2 linked regions of the Pelodiscus sinensis genome follow. The protein of the gene in region 2 interacts with the protein of the main gene of each other region in a biochemical or structural test. Links are inferred from orthologs where the notes say so. Each region holds a gene or a part of one and is shown on either strand. Other genes may lie near its edges.

Region 1 (7,224 bases), on a different chromosome or scaffold from region 2:
CACTGACATATACAGAAGAGAGGTGAGAATAGGTGTGGGGATGTCGTTTGTATTTCAGCCTGCCAAATAGTCTGGCAGCCTCTATCCTTTGGACAGTAAGTAATCTTCTTCCCCCTCCCAGGCTTACAGAAGTAGCTGCCCTAGATTTTGTTATCGAAACCACCCTCTTTCCCTGTTACTGATATTGTTGCCCTTCTTCATGTTAAGTGCTTAAAGTCACAGCACCAAAGTGCTGTTAGAAAAATTTGTTTAAAAAAAAAATCTATACAAAAATCCAATGATATAAAAACTACTGCTACTATCACAGACTGAACACATCAGCCAAGTTTATCAGGAATAACACTTAACTAAGAGCTAATGCTAAATACCTGCACTCTATAGGCCTCCAACCCCCCCATTTCTGGGATCTAGTGGCAAATTAGAGATCATATAGGTTATCAGGCTCAAGAGTAAAGGAATCACAAGAGCATCAAGTTGAGCTATCAAGGAATATTAGGGTACATCTACACAGCAGGGCTAAAGTTGAATTAAGCTATGCAACTTAAGCTATGCAATTGATGTAGCAGAAGTCGAAATAACTTAAATCGGCTTTTGGCACGGTTTACACAGCAGGAAGTCTAAGGAAGAACACTCTTCCTTCAACTTCCCTTACTCCTCATAAAATGAGGGTTACAGGAGTTGGAATAAGAAGTCCTCCAGCTTGCCATTATTTCAAATAATGGCTTGCAGTGTAGACACACTTTGTTATTCCAAAATAATGTCAGTTATTCTGAAATAACGCTGCTGCGTAGACATACCCTTACTGATACACATATACCCCTACTATCCCAGCATCTTTAAACAAACTTACGAAGGTTGAGCTCTAACTCAATATTAACTATGAATAAATTATTAGAATAAAAAAATACTGCATAACTTGAACTTTCCAACAAGTTTCTAACATTATTTGCACTGGAATTAGATTGTGTCTGTCAACACAAATGAAGAACTGTACTGTCTTTGTAACTCTTTTCCCCCTATGATACCGATATGTAGTTGCCTACTGCATGTTGCCTTTCATCTGAAGAATTATAAATGCTCTTCACAGACCATTACTTAAGCCTTACAGTACACTTGAGTTTAAAAAAACAAAACAAAAACAGAGCCAAGATCAGATCTCATGACTCTCAGCTCTATGAGTTAGCCAAGAGACCATCCTTCCACTATTCTTAAGTACCTGGAAAGTGAGTGATCAGACACCCAGCAAAGCCTTTATTAGAGTTAAGGTGCACAAACGTTCAACATTAGCCCACGTCAAATATTAACAACTACTAACAATGTATTAAATGTTTAACATGGAGATTCTAAACTAGATACTAGAAAGTTATATTTAGAAAATAGACATCACCTGACCATTTTCCTCATCTGACCATTCTCTTCAATAGTACTGGCTTAACCTGAAGTTCTTACTTAAGAGCAAAATATCGAGTATTGCAATATGGTAACTCATTGGCAATTTTCACTTTTGTTACAACTTACACCATACCCTAAAGGGAGAATAATTAATTTAGAAGAATATTCTGCAAAACAGCTATGTTGCCATAGGTACCCATTTGTTTTATAAAACATAGCATTAATAGTTTTAGCTATATTATATAAAGAAACCCAAAGTATTCCTTTCAATAATAGTAATAGGAAAGAAACGGTCTTTTCAACTAATGTTTGCTTCAACATCGTTTACACAAGTTACTCCAACATTGTTATTAATATTACTTATAACAGTGTCTACATAACCTAAACAATAGGAGTGATTGGGACACATTTGCAGCTTCCATGATTAATTTAAATACACACGTGATATATATGGAATACTAAAAACCTGCATGGGTTAGGTCAGCATTTTCAAATAATGAAAAGAAGACTAACTTCACCCACATGTACTTTCTAACATACACTATGAAGATGTATATACACACATCATTTAGCATTAGATGATTGCAAAATATGTTTAAAAGAATACCTTTCTAGTGTGTGTTTATGAGCCAGCTGGCAGCCACCCTTCACTCTAGGTGGTTGGTTATTGTTCATTAATGATGTGGATAATTTATAGAAAGACATTTTAGCATCCTTGAACATAGAACTACCAACATAATATCATCATTTCCACAGATACAGATACGATGACTTAATCAGTAATCCTCTTGGGGCTAGAGAACTATGCTTCTTTTACGCTGCTCAAATAGTAGGAGAATCATATACATAAAAGATGAAAAAGCACATTGGAGTGAAATGTTACATTACAACACCACAAAACTAAATCCTCCCACCCTTTATCTAACATAAATACCACACGATCTCTTCTTTCACTGCTGACTCCGATAACTTCCAACAGTTCCAGAGGAAGCGTCTGTTTAAAGTCTAACCCTGAAACCGCTGCACCCATACCGCTGAGAGAGGTGCGTGGCGGGGGTACGGTATGCGGAGGAACTACTTGTTATCAGGGCAGTAGCGTGAGTACCTGTTAGAGGAGCTTCAGGGTAGAGAACCCTGTAACCCTCCACCCACTCAGACGGCAAAGGGATGGACATAGGACCCTCCCCACCAGCCCGGTCCATCCTTTAAGAGATGCGGATACACTCCGCCCCACCAGCACCCCGTAAGCGGCACAGAGACCCCGCAGCTTCCTCCCGCTCTCTCTCTCGGGGGGCAGGGACCCCACAGCCTCCCCCTCAGGGGGCAAAGACCCTCCCCCCCACGCAGGGGCTGGAGAGTCTGGTTTATGAGCCGGGGCACTTAGGATGATGCTTTTTCCCAGCCCTATTATCTCCCTACACGGCCCCCCTACCCCTCCTGGCCCCCCACAGCCCAGCACAGGCAAAGCCTCCCTGAAACGGACGGGAAGTGAGAAGGTCCAATTCACTCACCCTCGGCAGCTCCCAACCAGACTCAGCTTCGACCCCCTCCCTCCTCTGCATCACTTCCGGGGGTGAAGCGTCAGCTGGATGCGTGAGGCGTCGTCACGCAGAAGAGCGTCCCGGCGTGCCCGACGCTGCACGTACAGTGAGGGAAAAAGCGGGCAAGAAACCGCTCCCGCCCCCAACCGGGTTGAGTGGCGACTGGAGTAGGTTGGAGCGAACCATTACGCAAGGAAAGGGGGGAAACTGTGAGGAGGGCTGTAGGGCGCTTGGCCCTGAAGGTAAAGAGGGAGAGGCAGATAGAGGGGAAAGAGGTCGATGTTGGTATGCAAAGATGACCTAAACTGGGATTTGGAGGACTCGTGTTGCCACCTCCCCCGGCTCTCACATTGGTACAGTCCAGCTTGTAGGCGAGTAGCCGGTGGTGGCGGTGCTGCCCTGACCGTCCGGGGGCGCTGAGGGGGCCGCCCTGGCGCAGGGCTGGGCGCCGCCTCTTTGCAAGTGTCACATCAAGGGCTCGCTCCGGCCCTGCTCGCTGCTGCAGGTTCCCCCCCCCCCCCCGCAGCCAGGAAAGTTGGGCAGCCGCCCCGCGAGCTCCGAGCAGTCCCGCGCCGCGCCCCTCACCGCAGAGCGGGCCCCTCGCCTGCCAGCGGGTCCCCGGGGCAGCGAGCACCCGGTGCTTAGAGACTCCCATCCTGGCAACGCAGGGCTCCTGCAGCCACGGGCAGGCTTCCCGCGAACATCCCCCTGGGGATTCGTCCCAGCCCAGGGCTCGTGGTCCCACCCTGTGAACCTGGGCGCTTGCCCCTGGAGGGTCCCCACACTACACAGGGCCTCCTTTTCCTCTTTGGTCCCGGCTGCGGCCCTCAGCACATCCCCTGCGGGCAACTTCCCGGCCTGGATACACCTACACCCATGTAGGGCTGCCAGGTGTCCGGTTTTGAACCAGACAGTCCAGTATTTGAGCTTTCTGTTCCGGGAAACAAATTGAGAAAATGTAAATGTCCGGTATTTTCTAAATAAGAAGCAATGACAAGCGTGTCTGGTATTTTTGTTGAAACCATCTGGCAGCCCTACCACTGAGTCATACTTCCAGTCAGGGTCCCAGAAAGTAGTTCTTGGGCCAGCTCTGCTCTTCCGTGAAAATGAAAGTGGGAATCCCCCTCCCCCTTTGAAACATTAGAATTGAATGCATATATTTAATCTTTTAAAACATTCTCAAGTGCTGTGGCTCTTTTATTGTGGGCCATGAGCCAACAGTAGTCTCTAGAGCACGTGATTGCATGTGGAATGAAACATTTTGAAAACCAACAGTGAGGGATGGGAGAGGAGGTAGAGCATGACAGAATCTCACTTACTAAAATGAGCCACAAAGTTAAAAACAGCCCTATGCCTTGCTGTACTGCATTAATATTTATACCTATTCTTGTGTTTAGGAACTGTTCCAGTGTTGGGAAATCTACATTATTTTTTTTCATGTGTTCAGTTGCATTTGGCTTAGAGCCAAGAAGCAAATAAGGTGCAAAATCCATACTTCATGTTAACATCATATTTGTAGATGCCTCTATTGTATAAGAAAGTTGAGATTTTATTACCTGGGCTAAATTTGCCACACAACATTAAAACTCTCTTCTCTGAGCATGAAGACCCAAACAGAGTAGGAGAGGAGGAAAATATTAACAGTCCAGAAAACAAGCCTATGCTCTTTTTGTATTGGTAGCAAAGTTAAATCAATATTGGCCTTGACTGCTTATGGTCATTGAATGTTTTCAGTGTCCAGAGAGGGTTAAGAAATATTTGAAGCAATAAGAGTCCTTCCCTTATAATAGCCCAAATAAGGATTTTACTCTTCAGTCTTTCACTTATTATTAGAAAACGTAAGTTAGGATGCAGGACCATATGTGCTGCTTAAACTAGGCAAAGCATTCACAATCCTGTGCTAGCAAACTCAAAACTATTTTACTGTATAGAATTAGCCATGGACTAGATCTTTTCCATTTATTCACATGTAATGCTGCATCAAAGCCATGTCACAATGTGGTTACTGCCACATGTGTGGAGAATCAGTTCTTGGTTCTTTCCATGTGAATGAACTTATATGGAAAGCCAGTGATAAAATCTAAGCCATTGATTTACAAATTGAACTGTCTTCTTGCTTTCAGTATTCATTATACTTTCTGGTCGATACTTTACTCAATACTTAAATGAAAATTAAAGAAACAAAAGTTTGATCTTGGAGGACTCAATGTTGCATGTGGCCCTCTCTTCACTTACCCCTTAGAATTCCCACTAAAGTCAATGGGAATTCCAAGTGCATTGAGTGTGTGAGTAGCTCAGAGGTGTTGAGTACCAACTGGGTTAACAGTTGTTTTAAAGCTGAAACTTCTGTAACAGAATTCGAAACCAGGCAAAACTCCCCTTGTTCCAACTTTCATTACAGACTGGTTTCTTGGGCTACTTTTACTGAAAAAGCACACATTTATGATTGTAGATAGAAACAGTGATAAACTTTTGGGTCATTTCATCTCTGGAGTAACTCCACTGAAGTCAACAGAGTTATACCATTGATAAAAAAAAAAATGGGATTACAGTAGGGGTGGATTTAGGCCTTTGGTTTTATTTCATTTTCACTTTATTTTGCTAAGTGGTCTTTCACTATTCTTGGCAGCTTTGAATTTTACTATAGATTTGGAGGTTAACAAAGCAAAAAATTGTATCCACAGCTGAAGGAGTAAGACCTTTCAAAAGTGAAAATCCATGCGAGTTGCCAGCTAAATGTATTGTGTATACCTAACTGATGCAGTCATTTGCAGTGTAGCTATTCTACAGTGTTCATAATGCAAAAAATTGGAGGGGAGGCGCTAAATCTGTTTAATTTGTGTGAGATGGAACGTAGGAAGTGAATGTTGGATTCTAAGATTTTAATATAATTGGAGAATGTCATCTTTTTAGCCATCCCAAGAATCCTTGATCTCTCCTCATGACACCACCTCACAGGAGCCAGCTTTTGCAGCTGTTGACCCTTATGGAAATTATGAGCCCAGTTCAATCCTTATATAAATCCAGGATCTTCATTTCAATATGCTTACACCAGGGATGGATTTGTTTGAGTGACTTAGTTACTATGGATAGCTGTGAAACTGAGTGAATGATTTCATGTCACATTTGCCAGCTGGAGAGAAACTGGCTCTGTGTTAGCTAAGTGTTATCAGTGTTCTCTAAAATAAAAAAAGCTTGATATAAAATGCAAGCATTGTAGTGAGCAATAGCCCAAGAATGGTATTAGAATTACAGTGGTACAACACACTATTGCATTCAAACTGGATAGAAATAGTATTGTATAGGTGGTTGAAATAAGTTATTTTCATAATAGGCATTGTCAAATAATGTATCCTATTCAGAACTCCTTGCCAGTAGCAAACAGTCAAATAGCTGATGATGTGAAAGAGGAGCTATGCTGCACTTCAGTGTCAACATTATATTTGATTGCATCACAGTTGCTGTTTTAAACTGTTCCCTACAGAGTTTTATTCCCCTGTCAAACAAATATGGTGTCAGCACCTAATCAAGTTTGTGCAGTATTAATGAGCATCCAAGTTAAAAAGGATGTAGAAGAGATCGATTGGTAATGTTTCTATTTTCCCTTATTAAAATTCTACTTTTCTTAAAATCCTAGGTATATGTTGATAGTAGGGATGTCAACGTGTAGATTACTACACGATTAACTGATAACAGGATTAACCAAGAAGCCCAGGTTTGACTACATGCATTTCCCCCATCTGCTGCCTCTATATTAGAGAGGAGGGGAGGTGGGAGCCAGTGTCTCTCCCCTCCCTGCCATGCTGCTGCCTCTAATAGAGAGGCAGCAGCACAGAGGATGAGGGGAGCAGGCAGGAACCAATATGTGCAGGGAGTCAGCTTATAAGCAGCTCTCCATGTGAGCCTGCTTCACATATGTGCCTGTCCCCCCCTTGCTGCCTCCTACAGAGGCAGTGTGGGGCAGAGGAAGGGAGGCAGGAGCTGTTGCCATCTTCCTGCCCTGCGCTACTGCCTCTAATGGGATGAGGGAGGGAGGGATGGGAAGCTTCTGCAGCAGCAGCCTCTATTTGTGGGGAGCTTTGCCCCCTCCTTCCTACCGCCCCACAGACAGGGGCTGCTGCCTCTAATAGAGGGGCAGGAGCACAGGAGGCTGAGAGCACACTGGCTGCTGGCCCTGCCTCAGGAACTATCAATCAAATAGTCACATAACTGCTAAAATTTGATGCAGTTACAGGACTAGTTAATTACATGCTATCTAACATCCCTAGTTGATAGATTTGATAATTAAAGT
Region 2 (7,807 bases):
GCGCGTGAGCAGCCCCGCCCCCAGGTGCCCGGCAGCCCCAAAACATTGGGGACCACTGATTTATGACAAAGCTGCTCAACTTGAAGGGTACTAGCCCGATAACGTAGGAATTCACTGCATGTGTCAGCACACTCACCTACTAGCTAGTAACCGCTGTTATCTTCTGAAGTATTTACTACTGGCTGAAAAGTACCCTAAGGCTATGTCTACACCTGCGGCTTCTTGCGCGAGTAATATGAAAATGAGGCTAAGCGTGGAATATTGCCGAGCCTCATTTGCATACCTAATGAGCCACCTTCCTCCCCCCTGCCCGAAGAGGCTCTTGTGCAAGAAGGAGCATTTACACTGCCCCTTCTTGCGCAAGAAAAACCCTCTTGCGCAATGCCGTTACACGTATTACTTTTCAGGAATGGCATTGTGCAAGAAATACGTGAAACGGCATTGTGCAAGAGGGTTTTTCTAGCGCAAGAAGGGGCAGTGTAAATGCTCCTTCTTGCACAAGAGCCTCTTCTGAAAAAATGGTTGCTCATTAGGTACGCAAATGAGGCTCGGTGATATTCCACGCTTAGCCTCATTTGCATATTACTCGCGCAAGAAGCCGAAAGTGTAGACATAGCCTAAGTGTGTCCTGTACTTCAGCAAAATCTTGCTTCCCCTCCCCCCACATATGAATGTTTCCTAGCCCAGTGGATTACAGAGTTACATAGGGCTCCTATACAACTTCCAAACAATCTGCGGTCAGCAGGGACTGCTTGAAAGTAACAGAAATAAGGCAATTGACAGTTGACCCAAAATAAAGGTAACATCAGTGCTTCAAAGGGTCAAAAAAAAAAAAAATCTCAGAAGTAGGTATGGTAAAGCCTGTCCTATACAAGGAAGCAAAGATCCAGATATCTTTAAATAAAAGTCAACCCCTTCTGAGTTCCAAACTCAGCCAAGAGCAGGGCACAGGAAAGACTGTACACATTAACTCCCAATACAGAAGTGCATGGGACAAGAGCACCTAACCATCCAACAATACTGTTGAAATTGATAAAATGCTGACAAATGCATAAAATTATAAAAACTAAAACGTTTAATAATCAACATATTTCTACGTGCAAAATCAACCACAGTCAGTGTTTAGATGTATAATATAAAAACCATTACAGAGACGAGAGCATACCTTCACTTAGGATACCGTATTCAGCATTGGCCACTTTCTCTAAAATGGATATAATGGAAATAGATGGTGTTTAGAAGCATGAAAAAAGCTTGCATATAAAAGACTGCAAATATTACATCTGTGTAGTCTGAAGAGGACACAAAGCAGAAAAATGCATTAAGAGACGGTGGACTGGGCATTTCTATTTACCTTCTCACACAAAAACAACTGGAATTTTTAATAAAATTTCAAGGCAACAAATTCTGAACCAAGAGAAAAATATATTTATATTAAAAAAATTGGCTTATGGAACTCATCTTATTAGGATTCTGAGTAGTACTTGACAATTATACAGATGAGAATATCAAGTTAAATCAGGATACTCTCTCTAAAAAGCCATGTTATTACTACTAATACATCATTGTTGTGTGTTAGTATTTTCATTTTAGTAGAAACATTCATCAAGTGTACACTGGGATGTTTAAAGAAAAAGTGTTTTCCACATAGAAGGTTGTTACTGTTAACATGAATTCACACAAATGGCAACAATTTATAATGAATCCCAGGAAAGGAAGAGATTTGAGGCTTATCTATTCCAACGGGAGGATGAACTCCAGTAGAAGAAGCTAGGAAACAAACTACAATAAAGCATGTCTTTGGCAACCAACAAATACAACTAATCTTTACCTAAAAGGATAAAGCACACACTTACACTAGAAAGAGTGGGAACACTTTTTTGATGAGACCTAAGCAGAATTTCTCTGCTCTTTAAGAGTAGCTACAATGTGGACACACTGCACTAATATAAAAAGCAACTTAGACTAGTACAGCTTACTTCAGACCAAGCTGTATCAATGACAAAGATCTACACTTAACTTAAAGAAAAACAATTTTTTTAGCATAAGGTGCTGCAGGACTCCTTGGTGGTTTTGCAGAAACCAACTAACACAGCTACCCCTCTTACATAGCCATTGGTTTTCTTATCCTTTGGTTCCCATCCCCAGATACCCTATTTGAATTAGAGGAACCAGCAAGCGTAGGTTTCACGAACATACAAAGACCCCAATAGTTCTACAGACATATGTTATGTGTTTTTTGCTTTCACAAGGGTGGAGTGCTGGGTGGCAGCCAGGAAAAGAAGTGGGGGGGGGGAGGGGAGAAGGGGACGACCGGGGAGAGTGGGGCACTAAAGTTAGAATATCGAAAATAATTTAATTAGTCAAGTCCAGCAACCAGGGCCCTGAAAATCGCCGAGGAGCAGAACCGAGCAGGGGGAGCAGCCCCTGCCGCCCCACCCACTACAGCTGCGGGTCTCTCACCTCCCTGCCCCTTCGCACCCATATTAGTCACTCACAAAGCAAAAGCGAAACTGGCGCGAGGGGGTAACGCTCCCGGGGCGCGGTGGAGGGGGAGAGATACCGGGGCCTGCGAGGCACAGAGCTCAGGACGGGCGCGGGGAGCCCAACATGGCCGGGACCTCAACCCGGCGGCGCAGCGTGGGGAGAACAAAACCCGTCACGAGGGCGAGAGGATGTGGGGCGCAGGCAGGGCCGGCAGGCGCTCGGCGGCCGCTAACACCCCCCGCCTCCCCGAGGGGCCCGGCCCAGCAGGCCCTGCGCGGGGAGGTCAAGCCCGCTCGGAGCCCGGGGAAGCCCCCGCTCCGCTTCCCCGCGGCGTTCGCTACCGGGCCGGAGGCGCCTGCAGCGCGCGGCTACCTGTCAGCACAGGCCGGATTCAGCGGAGCCGGCCCCCCTCCCTTCGCGTCCTGAGGCTGCAGTCCCTGCCCCGCTCGCCCTCCTCACACCGCTGCCATTCCCCGGCCGCGGCCCCCGTCTCTCCGCCGGCGCCGCCACTGCGCTGCAGACCGCGGGGGGAGGGGCACCTCCCTCACTCCGGCCCCAGCGCGCTCCGGGCCTGCCTGATACTCACCCGCCCCCGCTGCGTGCGCTTCAAATCGCACAACCGGCCACGGCTGGCGCTTGCCCAGTGGCACTAGGCGAACAGCCAGGGCTGGGCGCGATGCACCTCTCCCCCGGCCGGTTTGGTACAGTCCAGACTACGGGTACAGCAGAGGGTCTAAATTCATTCGACTTTTGTTACCGTAAATAACTAATTGAACTCCCCTTAGCGCAGGGCCAGACGGGGCCCGCATGCGCATGCTTCGCGCTACTCGTTCGGATTGATTTCCCTTCTCTGCGGTGCGCATGTGTTACTCACCAGCTTCCACACGCTCTCTGCGCGTGCTCCTTTTTCGGGAAGTCGCTCTAGTGAGTCGATGTGCGCTGCTCGCATTGTATGGCTCGGGGTGGTGTCTTGTAGGGCTACGCGAGTTATACACGCGGGATTCCGCTCGCACCGGTCTCCAGCACCACAGCGCTAGCTCTGCTACGGTCGCTGTACCCGCTTTCCCTCATGCAAGTGCAGCCCATCCTGCAAGCATACACCAGTGCTATGTCCTCCGATACAGCCGCGCCCCACTCTGCATGCCTCCAACCTGTCACCGAATTAAAAGCACAGGAAGAGATTCAGTGCAAGGAAGCCTGAAGCAGTCGCATGTAGGAAAGTCTGTACGCCAGCAAGGTCTCATTCCACGCTCCATTGGAGTCTGATTTCCTTTTGGAGAGGCAGGAGACAGAGCATGCAGCCTTTCAAGATATCTATAAAGCACCTTTTATACATTTACTATTGAGCCCATACTATTACTAGCCTGAGGTACAGTATATTAAAAAAAAGCTCCTATAATTACAAGACAGTTGGAGGTTAGTCACAGGCATCTATATCTCTAAACACATTCATAGTTAACTCCCTTGCTGCCTCCGCTATCAACTCCCCCACAATCTTCTCCCCACCCAGGGACAAAGAAGATGTGTTGAGCCGAGTTAATTAAGGCAAGATGAAGGCCAAGTGAAGGCAAGCCAGTCTGTAATTTCACACAAGCTCACTTTTTCTCTCCCGTGAAGGCAGCACCCAAGTGTGATTACTTGGAGCTCTCACATCGCCACATATTTAATAACAAATATCTCACTACCCATACAGTTCTCACAGCTTGATGTGTTCCTTCCTCCCACTCACTGAGATTTCTCAAAATATTCTGCATAGCTGCCTCTTCTTCAGCTTTCAAGGAAGATATGCAGTGGGAATCAGCAGAGCCCAGCAGAGGTGCCAAACTCCAGAATCTCCAGGAATTACAGATTAATCTTTAATTATAATTTATGTCTCATGATGAAGCCTTCAGGAATACATCAAACCAAAATTAGCAATCCTACCTGCCTGTCACCAGGAACAGTGAAAATTAGTCAGGACATAACTCAGGAGACTGCTATTTTGCATGATGCCTTTATACCATTTGTATAAATTGGTAGAACTGCTAAATTCCACCACAAACCTACCCACATTGGCGCCTCAAAAAGTGTAAACCGATATACATAAAACTAATATGTGCAGAAAGTTATGTATATTCACAGTTGACTTTCTCCATCTGTCCCTTACCTCTTACGCTTCTCCTCTGCTCTTTTCTCATCCTGATAAATCACATCTGTAATATGTCTTCTCCCTCGGAGAGTGAAATAATTTATGAATGGCCTCTTTCAAAGAAGATACCCCACTGCAGTACTTCCTACTTTTCTTCACCCTCCCCAAACAATCCATCAAGCCTTTACTTTCACAGTCTTCAATTCTTACCCCTCAATTTCTTCCTAAATTTAGTTGGGCTCAGGCTCCTCCTTACCAACCTCTGCTAATCTCCCATTCTTCCAGCAGGCTAGGCCATTTTTCTCTAGACACGGTCCAGCCATCTCCCTGTCTCCCTAGAACACTGTTACTCAGAGTACATCTACACAGCAGCATTATTTTGGCATAACTGATGTTATTTTGAAATAACAAAGTGAGCACCTACACAGCAAGCCATTATTTCAAAATAATGTCAAACTGGAGGACTTCTTAGTCTGACTCCTGTAACCCTCATTTTATGAGGAGTAAGGAAAATCAAAGGAAGTGTGTTCTTCCTTTGACTTCTGGCTGTGTAGACAGCACCAAAAGCCAAATTAAGCTATTTTGACTTCAGCTACACAATTGACATAGCTAAAGTTGTGTATCTTAATTCGACTTTACCCTGCACTGTAGACATACCCTCAGTGAGCAAGGTGACTTCTGCTAGTATCTTCCTGGTCATGTAAGGGGACTCTGCAACCCAGCCTCAGATGCAAACCATATGGGAAGTTGTGGGAGACAGTGAGCCCTTTACCTTTTCCAAAGCAACTGAGCATCCTTAGGGTGTGTCTAGACTACATGCCTCCTTCGACGGAGGCATGTAGATTAGCCAGATCGGAAGAGGGAAATGAAGCCGCGATTAAAATAATCGCGGCTTCATTTAAATTTAAATGGCTGCCCCGATCTGCCGATCAGCTGTTTGTCGGCAGATCGGGGGAGTCTGGACGCGATGCCCCGACAAAGAAGCCTTTCTTCATCGACACAGGTAAGCCTGGTTTCACGAGGCTTACCTGTGTCGATGAAGAAAGGCTTCTTTGTCGGGGCATCGCGTCCAGACTCCCCCGATCTGCCGACAAACATCTGATCGGCAGATCGGGGCAGCCATTTAAATTTAAATGAAGCCGCGATTATTTTAATCGCGGCTTCATTTCCCTCTTCCGATCTGGCTAATCTACATGCCTCTGTCGAAGGAGGCATGTAGTCTAGACACACCCTTAGTGTGGAGCTACTGATTATTACCTCAGGATTCAAGTGTGTGACTGCAAGACCAAGGTAATATCCCATTTTTGGAAGGTGGGATTTTCAACTACAGAGAGTTGCAGGCAATGCCAGGCTTTGTCTACTCCTCTTATGTAATGTTTAAACAAAATAAATTTGTTAACAACAGGCATGCTATTCCAGTGTCCCTGTAACCGTTGTTCCATGAGGGATACGGGACTTGTTGGAATAGCAGTTTATTCAGAAATTATGTAAGCAAATTATGTAGCATATTTTGAGGTAAGAGTGTGGTGTAGATGCACCCTAAATGGAAAAGTTGCTTAAGCTAAGTTACATAGTAGTGAACAGTAGCTACTTCTATGTATTGCAGCCTAACAAAGCAATAGAAAATAATGTAAGTGCATGTGTAAAATTGTTCACTTCAGCATTAAGAACTTTAAAAATATTTTCTTCAAACATGGCTTCCTTTTTAAAGTTGTGGTCAGAAAAAATAACTAACAATTACATCTCAACAAGTTTGCTTCCTCTGGTGAGATTTTTTTGTATTTTTTTTCTATTTGAAAGTTCAGACTGACAAGAAAAAAGGACAAGAAAACAGCCAATGACTTTCTGAACCCAGACAAAATAAAAATACATTGTAGCCTTTGCTAATGCAATTGATACCTTGTTTAGAAATGCAGTTTAATTTCTAATTCTCCTTTCATGATGCATATGGAAAGTTTCATCCAGAAAAAATACTGTTTGGTTGCAGCTTAATTAAGTGTTTAAGTTTGACCAAAAGCAGTTTAGCTAATCTTGTATTATATAAGCATGACAGCCCCCATATACACTCATCCCCTTGCACACACTCCACATATGTTATAGTAATTTTTTCACTTGCTTAACTAAAATAATATCTAGAAACTAGAAACCTCTAGTTGATAATCCAGTAGTGGTTATATCCTGAAAAGACATTAAAAATGGCTTAATAATTCTCTCAACAGCTTCCACATCAGGCTTGTTCATTCCATATAACCAGATTGAGTTTTTTGTTTTAAAACAGTAAACTCGATCTTGTATCACAGTTAAGCTGTTCTGGCTGTCATATAACACTACAAGAGTTCTGCAAATGAATCTTGGAGTCTGACCCTGTTCCCCACCGAAGTCTGCTTATTTTCACATGACTCCAGTGGGAGCAGTATTGGGTTCCTTATTAATTCTGATTAGGATATAAGAGTTAACTTAGAACTCAGCTTGTCCTCTCCTAGCTGTATCATCTCCATAGTACTTATAGCAGTAAACCTCATTTTTGTCATTAAAATTAAGGATGTTAAGGATGTAATTGACTATCGAATAGTCGATGCATTTTTGCATTGTCTATTTGATTAGTCAATAGGGTGCCTCCACCTTTGAAGTGTAGCAAGAGCTCTAAGCTGTTGCTACACTTCAAAAGTGAAAGCACCGAAGCCCGGGGTCAGCTGGGGATCTTGGGCTCCACGCAGCGCTGCCACTTTGAAATGCCACGGGGATCCTGGCTCCTCACAGCATTCAAAGTGGCAGCGCCACACAGAGCAGCTGACCCTAGGCTCTGTGCAGGGCTGCTGCTTTGAACTACCTCCCTTCCCAAGTAGCAAGGGTTGGGGAAATGACTAATGAACTATCCTGTTGGTTATCCGATAAGCATTTGCTATCAGATAATCGATTAGTCCTTCACATTCCTAATTAAAGTATGCTGAAATGATTTGGAAATCTGACAGGAACAGTGTTTTCCCCACTAATTAAAATGGGGGAAGGAGGGTGTTTGACTATACAGAAGGGATGAGGGCTGATAAGGAGTGTGGGCCAAGGTGGACTGTATGGAAAAAAAGAAGAAGAAAAAAAACAAAACACTAAACCCAGGAAAAAACAGAAAAAAAATGCACGACCATTTTCTTAGATTTAACTCATGTTTTACAATCATCACAAAAATTAAAGCTA

The links.
Region 1: of the proteins of CUL2 (region 2) and DCUN1D3, one has a biochemical effect on the other in vitro, tested with the Homo sapiens proteins (2 studies listed by BioGRID, with this or other methods). The link is inferred for Pelodiscus sinensis from reciprocal best matches to the Homo sapiens genes CUL2 and DCUN1D3.

What each region holds. Positions count from the first base shown.
Region 1 is NC_134726.1:22,096,612-22,103,835, forward strand, and holds the start of DCUN1D3 (DCN1-like protein 3), read right to left. Parts: upstream 3,018-7,224; 5' UTR 2,904-3,017; intron 2,868-2,903; exon of another isoform or gene 2,000-2,867; intron 1-1,999. UniProt on the Homo sapiens protein: Contributes to the neddylation of all cullins by transferring NEDD8 from N-terminally acetylated NEDD8-conjugating E2s enzyme to different cullin C-terminal domain-RBX complexes and may play a role in the cell cycle progression by regulating the SCF ubiquitin E3 ligase complex, after UV damage.
Region 2 is NC_134712.1:231,951,305-231,959,111, forward strand, and holds the start of CUL2 (cullin-2), read right to left. Parts: upstream 3,019-7,807; 5' UTR 2,860-3,018; intron 1,205-2,859; 5' UTR 1,166-1,204; intron 1-1,165.